Elephas maximus indicus: one gene and its partner. The protein of the gene in region 1 purifies or fractionates together with the protein of each later gene. This does not show direct contact. Links are inferred from orthologs where the notes say so. Each region holds a gene or a part of one and is shown on either strand. Other genes may lie near its edges.

Region 1 (9,332 bases):
ATCCATAAATCATAACAAAGGTCCGGAATTGATCCTTTATTCAGCATGTCTTCCATTAGTGAAAATATAGTATCAACAAGAAATTCAAAGGAGAAAATAACTGTGTCCTGATAATCAATGCAATGTTTCCATCCCCATAAACTGAAACTCAGTACTCTATAAGCATAACCCTCCCTATTCCACTCCCTTCTGCCCCTGGTAACCACTAATAAACTTTGGCCTCTATACATTTGCCTTTTCTTATCTTTTTGTGTAAGTAAGGTCATACAATATTTGTCCTTTTGTGATTGATTTATTTCACTCAGTTTAAAGTCTTCAAGCTTCATCAATATTGTAGCATATAGTATATTTTTTTGAGATAAATCTGGCAAGAATTGTTGATGAATTGGTTTAAGGGTGAAAGAGAGTGATGTATCAAGGATGACTGTTAGGCTTTTGACTTGAGTAACTGGGTAGAAGGTCATCCCATTTCTAAGATATGGAACATGGGCAAAGAGAAGGTTTGGAATGTTAAGGTTTGGAATGTTAAGGATTGGAATGTTAAGGATTGGAATGTTAAGGAGTTCAGTATTGGACGCGTTCAGCAGAGATGTTCAGTAAGGGCTTGGATATGTGTATCTGGAACTCAAAGGACAGGCCAGGCATAGAAAGAAAAAAAAAGGCCTACAGACCATTAAATTACTGGTTTTTAAAAAGATAATACGTCAGATCCTACAGTTCAGCAAACTTCTTGAATACAGTGTAGATGTTCCAGGAATCATGGCTTTTCAACTCAGGAAACAATTAAATACATAATTAGTGGCACAGTGATTTCACAGGATAGTCAATTATTAGGTAGCCATCATTTCATTGTACTGCAACTTATCCAAATAAAACATTTAAGCTCTCAAAAGATTTTCTTAGAATAATAGAATAGACAGCAATTCAGCTGCTTTGCTTTCTGCTCTTTTACTGACATTATCACCTCCTGTGTCTATCTATACTTCACATAATATCTACAACAACACATGCATTTGAAAGAAAAAGGTATTTTGAACATTTTCTCCATGCAGGGGCTTTAAATTTTTTTTAAGTGATGATCTTTTCAATGTCCAGGGAAGGTGTGAGTCATATAATAACTTTAGAAGGAAGGCTAAATAGAAGCTGGTAATTTTCTCTCTCTGAGGGACATACTGTTTATTCCCAGGGAAAAAAGGGGGGTTTCAAATTGGGGCTGGGTAGATTGGAAAATTAACACTAAAGTAATTATAGGTTTATTTTGTTTTACCTTACTAAATGTAAGCTTCATGAAGACGGGAGATTTTTGTTTGCTTTGTTCATTGCTATAACCCCAGCATCTAAAAGAGTGCCTTGCATGTAGTAGGTGCTCAATGAATAGTTGAGGAATAAATGAATTAATGAGTTATGTCTTCACAATGTAATTGTGTTTGTTAGAAAACTACTGACTTCCTAGAAAGTTAGAAATACATACACATATGTATACATGTATGCACTTATATCTCCAAAGTAAGACAGAAATATTTTTATTTATCATTATTACTATTTTTAACCATTCATGCTATGGATTCTCACTGTTAGAGAAGATTGCAGAAAGTTTCCTGTGTTTACTCTGGGAAATATATTAATTTCCATTTCCACTGTTGATAGTAAGAGTCTCAGAGATAAGATCTATTTCACTTCTGAGAATACTCAAAACTTTCTTTTCATACCAAGATGAATAGCAGAGTGATTTACTGAACAATATTTTACATTTCACTTCTCAGAGGAATCTCTTTTACATGATATATTCATCAGAGGACCATATCATAAAAGAATTGTTCGATACAACAAGATGAACAAGAAAATAAGTTAATGGAACATGTACTACATATTGCCAATGACCAGGGTAAAATGCAACATAAATACAGCCAAAAAATCAGCAAAATACATTTTTAAAGATTTTTCATGTTCTAGCAAGATTAACAAACATGTATTTAGGGTCTACGACATGCAGGACACACATGATAGTGATAGGCAGATACAAAAGTGAAGAAGGCTTAGTCCCTGTTCTCATAAGGCTTACCATCTATTAGGGGAGTCAGAACTAAGTTCAGTTCAGCAAATATTTATTGAATTCCTCCTATACACCAGGCTTAGGTTGGATGCAAGGGGTAACAAGATAAATAAGACACAGTCCCTGTCATACCGGAAAAACAAACAAACAAACAAAAAAAACCCAAAGCCATCGCCTTCAAGTTGATTCCGACTCATGGTGGCCCCGTGCGTTATAGAGTAGAACTGCTCCACAGGGTTTTCTTGGCTGTAATCTTTATGGAAAGGAGCCCTGGTGGTGCAGCAGTTAAAGCATTTGGTTGCCAACCCAAAGGTCGTTGGTTCAAACCCACTAGCTGCTCTACAGGAGAAAGATGTGGCAATCTGCTTCCGTAAAGATTACAGCCTTGGAAACACTATGGGGCAGTTCTACTCTATCCTATAGGGTCGCTGTGAGTCGAAATCGACTCGATGGCAATGGTGTTTTTTTTTTTTTAATAGTGTCTCCATAAGTTAGAATCGGCTGGATGGCATGGGTTTGGTTTTTAATCTTTATGGAAGCAGATTGCCAGGCCTTTCTTCCACAGTGCTGCTGGGTGGGTTCTAACTTCCATCCTTTAGCTTAGCAGCTGATAGCAAACTGCTTGAGCCACCCAGGAACCTCCCTGTCATACAGGAGCTTATAATTTAGCTTGCTGTATATCTGGGTGTGTATTTTGCGTGTGTGCATGGGGATATGTGTACTACGTAGGGACTGACATAAATGTAAATAATTTCAGTGAATATGGCAGGTTATGACACAGTGGTAGCACCATTGGAGAACCTTAGCTCAACATGGGTAGGGAATGAAAGGAAGAGGAAGTGGAAGCTGAGCTGATTCTTGAGGATAAGTATTAGCTAAAGAATGGGAAGATCATTCCATTTTGAAAGGACAGTGTGGGGTGGTTCAGGAAGATGGAAAAGATGACAGTGTGTCTGGCAAACTACAAGCAACTAAGAGGACAGGTGGTGTAAGAGAAGGACAGGTTCACCACTGCACCCTCTCTTTGAATTATTCAGTAAAATAGTTAAGTAATTTCTGGGGTCAAAAATATTCTCTCACTCCCCTGCACAAGCCTCACTTTTTTGCTTTGGTATCGTCAGACAGACAGCAAAGCATTTTAAAAAATGGGGTGGAGAGGGCTTGAAAATACTTATGAAAGCTATGTTAGCTGCTTGTCATAGACCACCTACAAAACAAAACAAAACAAAAAACCCCACTGCCATCGAGTTGAGTCCAACACATAGTGACCTTATAGGAAAAGAGTAGAACTGCTCCATAGGATTTTTTAATCTTTAGGGAAGCTGAATGCCACACCTTTCTTCTGCAGAGCGGCTGGTGGTAGCAGTCCAGTGCTTAACCACTGTACCACCAGTGCTCCTAGACCACTCATAAACAAACAAAAAACTCAAACCCATTGCCGTCGAGTCGATTCCAACTCATAACCCTAATCGAATACGATGACTTTAATGTAAAGGCCATTTCACCGTGACCATTTCTGTAGTAGCTTATTAGGAGAATCATATAAGGACTCATCTTACACATATAGAAACTCAGATTCGAATTCAACAAACGCTTATCAAACATCTACTATGCTTTCGTATAATTTTACCTTCATGTAAAGCTAGGCTAATTTTGCAAATATATATCGCCAGGGTGGCTGTTCGGCCTAACTAGAATAAATACCACGCGGTGAGGTTTTCATTCTGGTGAAACTAAACCAAAACCTTTTACCGTGGAGTGGATTTTGATTCACAGCGACCCTACAGGACAGAGTGGAACTGCCCAATAGAGTTTCCAAGGCTGCAGTCTTTGTGGAAACAGACTGCCACATCTTTCTCCTGCAGAGCAGCTAGCGGATGGAACCTCAGACTTTCCGGTTTGCAGCTAAGTCCTTTAACCACTGTGCCACCAGGGCTCCTGGTGAAACTAAGGCGAAGGGTTTATGGGGGGGGGTGTGGTGGGGAGGCTTATTGGGGAACGAGCCCTTGGTGCTGCAGTGGTTAAGCGCTTCGCTGGGCTGCTAACGGAAAGATTAGCAGCTGTCGGACACACTAGCTGGGCGCGGGAGAAAGATATGGCAATGTGCTTCGGTAAAGACTGCAGCCTTGGAAACACTATGGGACAGTTCTACTCTGTCCTATAGTGTCACAATGCGTGGCAATAGACTTCACAACGATTTTTTTTTAAATAGGTTTCAATGGGGAGACATAAGAGACCAAAAAGATTGGCAGTAGGAGACTCAGCCCAGCTAACAACATCGGTGTGAAAAATTATGCCACGAGGGCCAAAACGAAAGCACAGACACACTGGGGAAACGGTTTTCCAGGCTGGAATGATAACCTCTCTTGTTCACAGAACAATTCCCTCGCAACTTCATTCTGCCTTTTGGGTCTCCGAACACTTCTTTCTTTATCTTAGTTAAGGAGTACCCAGGTCTTCTCACATTCATCCTAGCCATCGGAATACAAATCTGCATCTCTTTCCTACCCCAAGCCTCCAGCCTAAATGCACTGCTTCATAAAGCCTGGAAAGTAAATCGAGCTTGCAACATTTGCGTAAAAATCGCAAATATAACGCTGCAGCCGTCTACCTGGGCCTTCACTCAAGAACTACAATACCCAGAATGCAGAGTTTTCCCTTCCGCCTTCCACCGTGGGAACGCTTAACTTGATTTCATTTCCACAAGCAGTAGTCACATGACACGTTTCCTGTAAAGATGGCGAATAATCTCCCTTCGGAATTTGATGTGATCGTAATAGGGACGGGTATGTGTGGCCCTAGTACTCCACGGACTAAATGTGGGATGCCTGTCTCATTCCTGCCTTCTTTGTCAGTGACGAGAGTTAGCGAGAAACGCCGGGGGTCGAGTTTGGGAGGGCGGACGGGAAGGAAGTGAGGTATTCTGGAGTCAGCGCGGGACTTGGCAAGCTCCAGGGAGGGGCTTGGACCCGCGGTGCTTAGCGACATCTGAGTAGGGGTATATCTGGTCGATGCCGATTGTTGAGGTTGGTTGCTGCGGCTGATTCCTGTAATTTCCTTAAAGGGAGGTGGGTTTGCAGTGTCATGAGGACGGAGGGTCGGGATTTTATCCATGCATACGCCTTTGACATGACATTACGATTCACTCCTTGTTGAGTTCAACGTGATATTCCTCATTCCTTTTGTTTCGTCGTTTCATAGGACTTTTTTCGTATCTTTATATGATTATAGGGTGTCGTGCAGTTAAAAATTGCTCGGTTACAGCTTAATCCTCAGTTTTGCAAGAAAGATGCTCAGTTGTTGCCCATGTACGTATTAATTTATTAGGGCAGGGAAACGGATTTTTTTTTCTCTATTGTGTTGAGCAGCCTAGGAAATTGTATTTTGTTGAGGCAGCCATTATTCCTGCTTTACGGTACTGAAAAAAACCATTCTGCTTTCTATCATCCACCTATCCACGCACAACCAGATATGCTGAGAACAAGCTTTTGTGAGTTCCAGTTCAGGTCTGTGACCTTATTGTCCCCTTGCTAATCATTCATTTGTTCTCCATGTTTTGGGTGGAGCCAGAAACCCCCCTGCAATTTCTAGTTGGCAAATTCAACATACAACGTGTGGCAGCGGACGTGTGGAATCAATTGACATTTTGTTTTTCTTAACTGGTTAGAGGGTGGGTTTTAGATGGGGTGAAAGAGGTTGTTGGGTGGGGTTTACTCCCGTCTGCGGAATGTAGTAGGCTCTGGGGTATTGGGCCCATTGTGTTGATGAATTCCGTTCGTTGTCTTTTCAAACTGTAGGAGCAGCCATGTTTTTAGGGTGGGAGTAAAAATTATAGCTACTTTTTTTTGTGTGAATGATTATTATTTGCTAGTCGATGTGCCAGCTAAGCACTTGACAAACCTTATGTAATTCTGACAGCAACCCTGTTAGAGTAGGTATTATTCTCTACATTTTACAGAAGAGGAAAAGGAGGATTAGAAAGGCTATAATTTGCTCATGATCACGCAGCTGGTAAATTTCCAAAGGCCCATGTCATAGCAGAAGGAGAATCAGTGGTTCTGATCCTCAGAGTTAACCCAGATTAGTAGAGGTCATTGGAAAAACTTGGTTCTAGAATTTGCTTGGCTTTTACCTTGCTGTGTGACTTTGAGGGAGGTTCAAGCACTTTAATCTCTCTGAGCCTGATTTTTCATATTTGTGAGTGTAGGGAGGGTAAACTAGTAGCTTTTAATGTGTTGTCTAACCAGAAAGCCTTTTATACTCGTTGTACCTAGGTAATTGTTCTCAGAACAACAGGGACATGTTATTCCCAACTTGAAAACAACTGCAGGTGCAGATAACCCAGCTGTGAGCAGACGTTGGATGAAAGCTGGAAGGAGCCAATTGAATATTCATTTATTCCCTCCATTCTCTTCTAAAACTGAGAAAAAAAATCCGTTTTAGAATAGCTGTTATTACCACACTTGCCTTTCTTTTTGGTTGTCTAGGAATCCATCCATTTTGGTCTTTTCTTTCTTTCCTGTCTTTTTAGTGACCTTTTGCTTTCTTCATGTATAATGTCCTCCCACAAGTAGTCTGGTCTTCGGCCATTAGCATCCAATGTATCAAATCTAATCTTGAGATGATCTCTAAATTCAGGTGGGATATACTCAAGGTTGTATTTTGGCTCTCATAGACTTGCTCTAATTTTCTTCAGCTTCAACTTGAACTCGCATATGAGCAGTTGATGGCCTGTTCTGCAGTCCACCCCTGGCCTTGTTCTGACTGATGATATTGAGCTTCTCCATAGTCTCTTTCCACAGATGTAGTTGATTTGATTCCTGTGTATTCCATCTGGCAAGGTCCGTGTGTATAGCTGGCCTTTCTGTTGCTGAAAAATGTATTTTCAATGAAGAAGTCATTCATCTTGCAAAATTCACTACACTAAATAATCCCAGGCTGTTATGGATTGAATTGTCCCCCCCACCCCCCCAAAAATATGTGTTGTACATCATAACCTCTATGCCTGCGGTTAGTCTGGTTAGAATTTTGCAAGACTAACCATAGGCATAGAGGTAATGATGCACAACATATATTTTTTGGGGACACTATTCAATCCATAACAGCCTGGGATTATTTAGGCTAGTGACAACCACTCATTTCTCAGGATATTCAAACCATGTTTATTGAGAACCTAGTCCCTGCCCTTGTGAAGGTTACTGTATTGTCAATACTCAGGAATTGTTTGGACTTCTGACAGTCACACCCCCAAAGCTGTTCTTAAGCCTATGTGAGCTTTTCATCACGTCCTTCTTGCTTTCTGCAGGCCATTTAGAGATCTAGTCTGCATCGTTTTCCTTTTTAAAACACATCAGTCACTTTATCTTCTGGAGTTCTTCCCCTAAAATGGGCTGTGGAGTAAGCTAGCTTAATTTTTTTCTTGCAGAGGGTGAACACATAGATCCTAGTTGATTTAAGAGTTTTACTACTAAGGATTATAAGGTTGCTATGAGCTAGAATCGACTCAATGGCATACAGCAACAACAACAATACTAAAGATATGGGTAAAGAGATGGGATAAAAAATAACAAACATGGGGAAGCTTACAAGGGTTACGGCCCTAAATCTTGACTGCCTTGCTAGATGGTGCTCAGTATAGTATAATAATAGATGTGGCAACATGGTTTAATGGTAATTGCTTGACCTTCCCCCTGTGTAACCTTGGGAAAATTGCATAACCTCTTGGGATTTCAGCTCATACATAAAGTGGGAGATTTGAATTAGGGGATTTCTAAGGTAGGGTTCTACCAGCTCGAAAATTTACCATTGTGTGTGCATAATTATGACCCTGTGTCATCAAGAAAAGGCTGATTTTATTAAAATTGTGCTTCAGATGAAAGTTTTCAGAGTAAATTAATTTCTCATTAAACAATTAATACTCATTGTTTTGTGACATTGATTGCCAACCACACGACATGTCAGCACTCTCCCTTCTGGACCTTGGGTTCCCCTTTACCAGCTTTCCTGTCCCCTCCTGTCTTCTAGTCCTTTGCCCTAGGTTGGTGTGCCCATTTAGTCTCATTTTGTTTTATGGGCCTGTCTAATCTTTGACTGAAGCGTGAACCTCAGGAGTAACTTTAGTACTGAGTTATAAGGGGGTCTGGGGGCCATACTCTCGGGGTTTCTCCTCTCAGTCAGACCAGTAAGTCTGGTCTTTTTTGTGTGAGTTAGAATTTCATTCTACATTTATCTCTTGCCCTGTCCAGGACCCTCTGTTGTGATCACTGTCAGGGCAGTTGGTGGTGGTAGCCAGGCACCATCTAGTTGTGGAAAAGGCTGGATTCTGTTCTGTATAGTCTTTTTAAGAAGTCAGTGTTGAATATATTTGAAAAAATTTCTATCAAAATGGATGCTTAAAAAAACTTTTTTTTTTTTTTTGAAAATGATAAGCTTCATTTATCAGGAAGGGTCACATAGGTCATATAGCTCCATTCCTTGATGTTGGTGGAGAATTGAAACATTAAGGTAGTTAACCTTGGCCAGCAGCTCATTGACTATAGTGTTTATTGTGATGGTGGTGGAGTAACCTCACTTCTATAAACCTTGGTAGATATAAATGCTGTAGGAGGGATCATGGAAACTGATATTTACTAAATACTCATTTGTGTCAGACCCTATGCCAAGTGATTTCTCCTGTATTCATCTTATTTAATCCCCTTTCAGGATGCTTGTATGTGGTTCAGACAAGATGTATTTCCTCTGCCTGTATTTCCAAATATCCATGCCCCTACGGTCTAGAAGGAGCCCTGGTGGTGCAGTGGTTAAGAGCTCAGCTGCTAACCAAAAGTTCGGCAGTTCAAATCTACCAGCCGCCTACTTGGAAACCCTATGAGGCAGCTCTGCTCTCCTGTAGGGTCGCTGAGTCAGAATCATCTCGACAGCAATGGGTTTGTTTGTTTGTTTTTGGTTATTGCCTGATTTACTTCCCAGAGAAGGCTCATGATTTCCATGAAAGGGGTGTCAATTTTATCTTCTTCCTCTTCTCATTGGCTACTTGATAGGAAAGACGTTTGTGTGTCTATTACCAGTAATCCTATCAGGTTTCTCATCTGGTGGTTTATAGGTTTTCTTCTTTATCTTTTTTACTCCCGAGCTTGCATTATTGATCATTTGTTTTGCCTGCAGGTTTTGAACAGATTTACTGTTTGTCTTATTTGGGGGCATAGTTGAAATTCTTCCTTGTCAGTGTAGGAAATGGTGAAGGAGCTAAAGAAAGCATGTGTATTTTGCTGTTCTGAAA
Region 2 (9,572 bases), on another chromosome or scaffold:
GTCTTGAAGAGTTGTGTATATTAATATTTTGAATTCTGTGTCCAGTAATTCCAGGAAGGCACCTTCATCCAGAAGATCCCTTGATTCTTTGTTTTGAGAGCTTGTTGAGGTAATCATGGTCTCTTTCTTTACATTACTTGGTATTTACTGTTGTCTCCAAGCCATCTGTAAGTTATTGAATTAGTTTATGTTATCTTTGCTTACTGTGTCCTAGCTTCTTGCTTTGTTTTGTTTTGATATGCCCAAATGGGCTGCTAGAGTGAGCTAGCTTGTTTTTGCCTTTGAAGCGCTGACATCCTGTCACCATATGGCTAGAGGTGTTATCAGGTATATCAGTCTAGGAGTCCGTTCACTTTTCTTGTATGAATTCAGCTCAAGTGTCCAGGTACCTGGTCAACAAGTGTGTGGTACAGGCTTTATCCTACAGTCTTAAGGGGGCAGGAGTGATTCATGTAGGTACCAGTGTCTGGTTGCAGCGGGGGGGGGTCACGCTCTGAACAAGGGAGGGGGCTGAGAACCATCCCCCATGTGTCTGTGAGGAAAGCACATCCCTGTTCCCTATAGTGTACAGGTGGGCGGGCTCTGCAGATAGACCATGGGCATCCAATGCTTTTGGTTGTAAGGGCTAAGAGGTACCAGTTATCCTTGGACCCCTGTCACAGGTGGCTGGGTGACCTGAGTGGAGCCACCAGTCCTTATGCTCCTGATGTGGGTGAGGACCCTGTTTAATAGGCAAAGTGTTATCAAATATCAAACACCCACCTCTCCACCAAACAGCTGAAACAGTTGCAGTCTGCCAACAAGGGCCTATTCTCCTGAAACAGGCCTGCATAGGTCCATGCAGGGGGGAAAGTTATTCAAAGTCCATGAACCATTTATGCTTGGACGGGAGCCGCTTCTGCCCTGAGATACCCCGGTTAGTGGAGCTGGCAAATTATCTTTTCCCCCAATTGTGAATTTATTCCTACTCCAAGGCCGGAAAGATGGCTCTGGGTGCTCAGTAGGACCCATTTCAGGCCCAGGGAAATCAACAGCCACTGAAGCCAGCTTGGGGGCAGGGGGCACAGTAAAGTATATGCAAGTACTTAGCTTTTGCTGAGAGCGCCATTCTTCTCTGGTTCCAGAGGTGTGAGTAGGCTGTGCGACTGCGCTTCTTCCTGAGGAAACTGTGGCTGAATGCTACCACCAGCCCACTGCAGCCGCCCCCGGGAATGGTGCCTGAGGGTTCCCGGCAATTCAGGTGCAGCAACTCTGCTCTACCTCTGAACTGTCTCTCCCTCCCCCTGCCACTCAGTCCATTTTCTAACTTTGCCTTTGATGTCCAGGGCTCCTAGCTTGTCATAAATATAATCATTTCACTTGTTTTTTTGGGTCTTTGTTGTAAGAGGGATCGCTAGAAGCATCTGGCTATTCCACCATCTTTGCCCCGCCTCTCAGTTATCTCCAATTTTGAGAATGGCATCTATGTCCTTATCCAACATGTCACTGAAAAAATACCACCAGAAGCGACCTCCCTCCAGGCTGGCAAAGATACTCAGCATTAATTCAGGGATAAATTATATCTACATCCTATCATCCCACTCACATTTCAACATTTTGTTCCTAAACATCTAAGAGGTATGATATCATTCAGGAACCCGGGCTCCAGCCACCTCTGTTATGTGACTTCATGTTACTGAATACCTCTGGGCTGCTGGAAAATGAGCGTGAGCGAGATGATCCAGCAAGCCCTCTCCAGCTCTGACGTCATGTTTTGTGGTGGTCAGGTAAGAGAGAAAGAATCAGGAAACTGGGGGCAGAGGAGAGCCTGTGTTGCAACAAGAGATGACAACTGGGCACTTGCGCCCATGCAGAGGTGAGCTTCAGCTCTCACTTATCACCGTACCGTAGGCACCCTGTCATTTCCTTTCATTTCCTTTCCCGTAACTCATGCTGACCTTCCCTCTTCTCGACATTTCTCTTCCCCTCAAGCCCCTAGAGTGCTCCCGATCCAATTTTCTTTCTTTAAATATTTTATTGTGATTTTGGAGAAAATTTACATTAGGTTCTCATTTAACAATTTCTATACATATTATACATTGGTTACACTTTTCACAACGTGTCAGCATTCTCATTATTTCCATTCTGTTGTTCTGTTTCCATTCATCCAGCTTCCTTGTCCTCTCTTACCTTCTCATATTTGGTTTAGGGTAAATGTTGACTGTTAGGTCTCATTTATATGATTGTTTAGAGAAACACAGTACTCATGGGTGATGCCGTTTATTTTGGGGGCCATTATGTCTTTTGGCTGATAGGTGACTTCTGGGAGTGGTTTGAGTCCCAGGTTTAAGGGGTATTCCAGGCCGATAGTTTCTACTCCCTCTAGTCTTCACTGGTGCAGTAAGTCTGGTCTTTTTCAGGAACTTGAGTTTTGTCCCCGCCCCCCCCATTTTCTCCAGGACTATCTATTGTGTCCCTGGTCAGAACGGTAGGTAGTGGTAGCTGGGCACCATCTAGTTCTTCTGGCCTCAAGGTAGGTAAGGGCATAGTTTGTGTAGACTATTGGTCCTATAGGCTAGTTTCTTCTTTGAGACTTTGGTTTCCTTCTTTCTCTTTTGCTTCAGACTCGCAGAGACCAATAATTGTATCTTAGTCCCCATTCGAATTTCTAAAATCCAATCACTTGATTGGAAACCCTGGTGGCATAGTGGTTAAGAGCTACGGCTGCTAACTGAAATTTCAGGAGTCTGAATCCACCAGGCACTGCTGAAACCCTGTGGGGTAGTTCTGTCCTGTCTTTTAGGGTCTCTATGAGTCGGAACTGACTTGATGGTATTGGGTTTGGGTTTTGGTTAATCACTTGATAATCTGATGATTTACAGCTCCAAGAAGATCCAGATCATTGGGCCTGAATTCCCCTTGCTGGCTCCCCCCAACATACCTACCTCCAGCTTCCTGGAAGTCTCAAGTCCCCTCCACACTCTTCACACAGTCCCTGTCATCCTCATACCTTCTGCCTTTGCCGGGTGCAGCAGAGCACAGCAGGCAAGGTGAGGTTGGAGGGAAAGTTATTAAGAGTGTCTTCTGGAACTGGTGTGAGCCAGGCTGTATCACTTACAAGCCATGTGACCCTGGACAGAGTCTCGGTTTCTTGTCATTATGTCGGTAAAGCATTTAATCATAGTGATTTCTCATCAATATTAGCTTCAAGGTCACAGAATCTTTTTTCTTTTTGTAGTCTATTTCTTCCTTTGCTTCTCTGCTGAGGCTTCTTCACCTCACACCCTCAGCCCTGCCCTCAACATGACTCTGCCAAAGCTTGTTTGTTGGCACCCTCATCGTCCCCCCTCCCCTGGCACACACCCCCCTGGAGTGCCCGTTGCCCAACCAGGCTGTGATTACTCCTTGCCCACACCTAATGTCCACACTGACCTCTGCTGCCTTCACCTCCCAATCCCAATCCAGGCAAGTATTCCTCGCTACCTTCAGGACATCTCCGCATAAAATCGAACATGTTAGAAGTGCCTCTTTCTCATCTCACATAAAGCTCACTCCCTCCACTCATGTTTCAAGACCTCTGTGACACCACAAATTCTCAAATCCCTTGGCTTTACAATTTGAGAGTCAATCTCAAAGTCACTTTTGTCCTTGAATCTTGGTCCTACCTGCTGCCAAGTCCTGCCTATAGCTCCTCAGAAATAGTGCTTCCACTCCCACCTCCAGGCAAGGCCATGGGGACATGGCTCTGGATTCCAGGCTCTGCCTAAATATTCCAGAGGATGTGGTTTTTCAGCCCCTTTCCCCACATTGCTGGAATCCCTGGGTAGTGCAAACACTTAAGCGCTCAGCTACTAACTGAATGGTTGACTGTTCCAATCCAACTGGACTTGTCTCAGAAGAAAGACCTGACAATCTGCTTCCAGACGGTCACAGCCTTGAAACCTTGAGAAAACCCTACGTAGCACAGTTCTACTCTGACACACATGGAGTCTCCATGAATTGGAATTAACTCAAGGGTAACTGGTTTTTCCTCCCCCAGTCACCTCTACTCCCTGTATTTCTAGTATATCACTAACCTCCTTCCCCACCCCTGTGACTAGCAATTTTAAAATAGGAGGATCAGGGCTGTATGCTTATGATTTATGTACTTTTAGCATATATGCTATGCTTCATTGTCAACCTTCACAGGAAGAAAAAAAGGATTGGGAGTTTAAGAAAAAATTGTAAACTATTACCTATCACCAGTTCTAGAACAAATCCCTCTTAACTCAGCCTGAGTCCCCTGAATACCTGTGGGCCCCTAGCCTACTCAGGCTTACATGTTGACATGTCTGTCTTAACCACTAGACCTGTCCTGTCCTTTCTAACTATTAGTCACAAGCTATTTAAATTTAAAGTAATCAAATTTAAATAAAATAAAAGATTCATTTCCTCAGCTTCACTAGCCATATTTCAAGTGCTAAATAGCTATATGTGGCTAGTGGCTACCACATTGGACGGCACAGATATAGAACATTTTCGTCATCACAGGAAGTTCTCTTGGACAGCCCTGCCCTAAACCATAAGCTCCGGAAGAGCAGGGAACATGTCTGTCTGGTTCAGCACCATATCCCAGGCAGCCAGCACACGGTCAGGCCCAATTCTGGCTCTAAATAAATATCAGTTGAGTGAATGAGTGTACATACTGTCACACCCTGCACCCAGCCCAGCACTAGCTCCAGTACCTGATCCTATATGCTCCTTCTACCTCCAGACCATGACTTCTATCAAGCTTTGATGGGGCCCTGACCCAGAGCTGATGACTCATTTCCTCCCTCCAAACCTTCTCTGGTCAGTGATTGGCTCAGGATCCTAGAGGCACCGAAACTGTGTGTGTGTGTTTGTGTGTGTGTGTGTGTGTGTGTGTGTGTGTGTGTGTGTTGGAGAGGGGAAGGAGAGAAAGAAAGGGTTTGGCAGCGGAAGAGGCCGTCAGCATGAGGTGACACCAAGGTTCTAGGTCTCAAGAAGCTCAAATTTGAGCTTCTGGCACTGGCCACCCCCACCTATGCAGTAGACAGACACCCAAGCTTTTATCTGATTTCTGGCCCTGTTGCCTCTGAGCTGTGTGACCTTAGGCAAGCTACTTAACCTCTGTGAACCCACTGTATGCACTGTCTCTTCATTATAAAATATGGGTAATCATATCTACTTCACATAGTTGGTGGGTCCATCAAAAAAGATATCTGGGGCTTAGTCGATACTCAGTCATTGCTTTTTCCTTTCTCTACATTGAGAGCAGTAAACTCCTTTCCTCAGATCATGGCCCTCAGACACCTGCATGGCTCCCACTTATCCCATACAGGAAGCCCAAAATAACTCCTGACAGCCCCTTTTGCCTTAAAGCAAGAGGCTTGTCCTGAGTTCCACTGCTCTTATCTCCAGAGACACCTGGATCAGCCAGCCGGTAAGTCTGTCTGGCGTTCTCTCTCCCACCATCACGTCATCATTGTACCTGCCTGAAATGCTCTTCCTGCCCTCTCTTCCCCACACCCAGGCCCTACCCTCTCGGAGGCACATTTTTTTTGAGACTCACTTCCTCTCTGAAGCCTACTTGACTCAACCTTCCTGATTTCAAGATTGCTAATCATCCCAGGATATTTCTTGCCTACTTCTGCCTTCATCCACCCTCTTTCTTCCTCCCTCAGTGACTGTGATTTTTCTCCCTTGGTGACTATGATGTAAGCCCCTACCTGAAAAATCTACATCTGTGGACATCTGTGTTCCCTGGTATCTGGTTGTACATGAATGTGTTAGAGCAAGGAGTAAGAGCAGATGGTGACCTAAAAAAAAAAAAAAAAAAGCAGATAGTGAAGTGGGAGGACGGGACCAGATCAGACATAGATTCCATTTGGCCCTCAGAAAGTTACTTAATGTTTCTGAGCCTCAGTTTCCGTGCAGGTTTGTCATGAAGATTAGAAATCATCATCATCACCCTCATTATTACCATTTACTGAGCTCTTACTCAGTGGCAGATGCTGTTCTAAGTAACCACTTCATATAGATTATTTTATCTTCACTTCAAGCCTACCAGGCAGGTAATATTATTTGTCCTGTATTTCTGTTGAAGAAACTAAGACACATAGAGGTTGAGTAACTACCCCAGGTCACACAGCTAGTGAGTGGCAATGCCTGGATTTGCACATAGGCGGTCCGACTCCAGAGCCCATGTTCTTAACCACTCTGCTTCCTGCCTCCCACTTGTAAAATCATGTGTGTGTGCACACACCTTGTATATGTGCTGCTCCCAATGAAGAGCGCACCTCTTTCCTCACTTGGACTGCAAGTACATGTGCCCAGGAAGAGTGTCTCTTTTCCTTTGTAATTTGCTACAGGGTCTAGAAAAGGGCATAGAAAAGGACATAGTGGGCACTTCACAGACATTTCCAGGGGCCAAGAAAGGTGTGGAGGCAATACAAAGATTAAAAGCCATACTTTCTGACCCAGATGTGGGTTATAAACATATACATGCAATACGGACATGCACTTCTCATAAAAACCTAACACACACACACTCAATCACACAGCCCAGGAGTCCACACACTCACAATTCAGCCAGACTGTCTTGGTTGCATTAACACACACACACACACTGGCCAGCTTGAGTTTTTCTGAATTGGTATAGGCCATGTGGATTGCTCCCATTCCTAAAAGTCAACATTTCTCACCATCAGGCCCGGCCATGCCAGCCCTCACTGTATGGTGTTTTGTTCATCCATTCAAATAACTACTAAGAACCTGGGCTAGGTACTGGGGAGGTAAGACAAAAAAATGTTCCTCCAGGAACATTCAGTCTGATAGGTGATGCCTGCACACAAACCAAGGGTTACAGTAGGTGCAGGGAAATAAGCACTATCTTTGACAGCACAGATGAAGGGCAATCAAGTCAGACTGGGGCATTTTGGAGAATTTCCTGGAGATGACTCTTGAGTTAAATCTTAAAGATGAACAGAAGTTAACCTGGCAAAGAAGGGATGTGGAGAAAGGAGAGTCACACAGAGGAAACAGATCAACATATTCGGGAAACTGCAAGTAGTAGTTCTAAAGGGTTGGATTGAGGGGTTTTTAACTGACAGAGGCAAGAAATAAGAAGAGAGTGTGGGCAGGGCTAAGTTGAAAGATTCAAACTCTGTCTTGAAAAGCTTTCAGGAGCTAGGGAAGGCTTTTAAACAGAGATGTGATGTGATCAAATCTGTTTTAGAAAGATTGATCCAGCAATAGCACAGAGATTTGATAATAGAGGAGACGGGTTGAGACGGGGGACCAGCAGGAAGACTTTCAATAATCCAGGGAAGAAATGAGGAGCTTGAACTCTTAGTGGCAGTGGGAATGGAAAAGATATTTACAAAATATTAAGAAGTAGGAAGGCAGTGGTGGTTCAGTGGCAAAATTCTCACCTTCCATGTGGTAGGCCCGGGTTCAATTCCTGGCCAATACACCTCAAGCATCTGACAGTGGAGGCTTGCCTGTTGCTATGATGCTGAACAAGTTTCAGTGGAGATTTCAGACTAAGACAGACTAGGAAGAAAGGCCAGATAATATATTTCTGAAAATCAGCCAATGAAAACCCTATAAATCGCAATGACCTAATATCATTGTTCACAGGGTCCCCATTGTTGCTGGGTGGAAAGCCCAGGTTTTATTTGGTGCGACCCGTCTCAGCCAATAAACAAGAGACCAAAGTGGAAGATCAGAAAGGTGTTTGTGATGGATTGAATTGTATTCCCCAAAAAATATGTGTTAACTTGGTTAGGCCATGATTTCCAGTATTGTGTGGTTGTCCTCCATTTTGTGATTGTAATTGTATGTTAAGAGGATTAGGGTGGGATTGTAACACCACCTTTACTCAGGTCACCTCCCTGATCCAAGGTAAAGGGAGTTTCCCTGGGGTGTGGCCTGCACCACCTTTTCTCTCTCAAGCGGTAAAAAGAAAGGGAAGCAAGCAGAGAGTTGGGGACCTCATACTACCAAGAATGAAGCACCAGGGAACAGAGCACGTCCTTTGGACCCAGGGTTCCTGTGCCTGAGAAGCTCCTCGACCAGGGGAAGTTTGAGGACAAGGAATGTTCCTCAGGAGCCCAAAGGGAGAGAAAGCCGTCCCCTGGAGCTGACACCCTGAATTTGGACTTTTAGCCTACTTTACTGTGAGGACATTTCTCTTTGTTAAAACCATCCACTTGTGGTATTTCTGTTATAGCAGCACTAGGTGACTAAGACAATGCTTTTATTTCATTGCGCAAGGAAAGGGACAGTTGGGGCTGCTGCTGCCAAGGCCGCTTAGTGAGGGTGAGAGGGAGGATTACTTTTTTGGGGTTTACAAGCAGGAAGTTCATACATGTTACATCAGCAACACTCTTAATCATACTACACAGGCACAATGGGGTTTACATATAACTTCATGCATCGCTTGTTCAGAAAATGGCAGTTAAACACCATCCAGAGGCGAGGAAGTTACTATGTATGAGGTACTTAATGAGCTAAAAGATTATCCTGAATGTCAACATGGTGTCTAAACCTGTTTCTGCCAATTTCCTCTAGTTTTGGGCAGCAGTTAAGGAAAGGGGAAAAGCTACAGTGTGTCAAGCAAGCTGCTTGAGGTAGTGGAATTTTCCAAAGCCTGGGGACCTGTCCTACCACGAGTTGGGGGTTGACTCCACTGCAGCTAACAACAATCACAAGGAGAAGTGGAGAGGGAATAGTGCCATTCACTACCATACCAAAAACTCCACTGCCATCAAGTCGATTCTGACTCCTAGGGACTCTCTAGGACAGAGTATAACTGTCCCATGGAGTTTCCAGGCTGGTGGATTTGAACTGCTGACCTTTCGGTTAGAGCTGAGCTCTTTTTAACCACTGTGCCACCAGGGCTCCATTCTCTACATTAAAAAAAAAAAATTAGGAAACATAAAAGGCCAAAGTTTAGATGGGATGGAGGAGGGGAGACCATGATACCTTTCTGATATTTGGAGTTTGAGGTGTCTCTGCGACATCCAGGTAATATCCACAGGCTTCTGAATATGTATGGTATGTACATACTGTACCCGTTGCCATCGTGTTGATTCCGACTCATAGCGACCCTACAGGACAGAGTAGAACTGCCCCATAGAGTTTCTAAGGAGCGCCTGGTGGATTTAAACTGCCGACCTTTTGGTTAGCAGCCGTAGCACTTAACCACTACGCCACATATTATTATTAAAGCTGCATCAGGGCCGCAGATATAAATTTAGGTGTCATCAGTTTACAGGCAGTAATCAAAACCATGAGTTTGGACGAAGTCACCCTGAGAAATTGTGGGGTGAGTTTTCCATGGACCAAGGTCAGAGCTCTAGGGTGCTCCAACTGCAAGCAGTTGAAGGCTCAGATTTGTTAACGTTCTCCTGAGAACGGTGTGTGAAGTTAGAAAAGGGTGAGGAAAGGGCCCTGGAAATCACCAATATTTAAGGGAGGAGATGAACAAATAAGAGATGGGCAATGGCTACAACCAATGACTGCCCTGACAGAACACAACAGAGAACTCCCGAGGGATGAGAGCAGTGGTATGCAGACCCCAAATTCTC

Evidence for each region.
Region 2: the proteins of CHM (region 1) and RABGGTA purify together in Homo sapiens (co-immunoprecipitation; 4 studies listed by BioGRID and IntAct, counting the BioPlex papers as one, with this or other methods). This does not show direct contact. The link is inferred for Elephas maximus indicus from reciprocal best matches to the Homo sapiens genes CHM and RABGGTA.

What each region holds. Positions count from the first base shown.
Region 1 is NC_064846.1:78,961,645-78,970,976, forward strand, and holds the start of CHM (rab proteins geranylgeranyltransferase component A 1), read left to right. Parts: upstream 1-4,769; 5' UTR 4,770-4,790; coding exon 4,791-4,839; intron 4,840-9,332. UniProt on the Homo sapiens protein: Substrate-binding subunit of the Rab geranylgeranyltransferase (GGTase) complex.
Region 2 is NC_064828.1:35,621,303-35,630,874, reverse strand, and holds the start of RABGGTA (geranylgeranyl transferase type-2 subunit alpha), read left to right. Parts: upstream 1-5,326; 5' UTR 5,327-5,422; intron 5,423-9,572. UniProt on the Homo sapiens protein: Catalyzes the transfer of a geranylgeranyl moiety from geranylgeranyl diphosphate to both cysteines of Rab proteins with the C-terminal sequence -XXCC, -XCXC and -CCXX, such as RAB1A, RAB3A, RAB5A and RAB7A.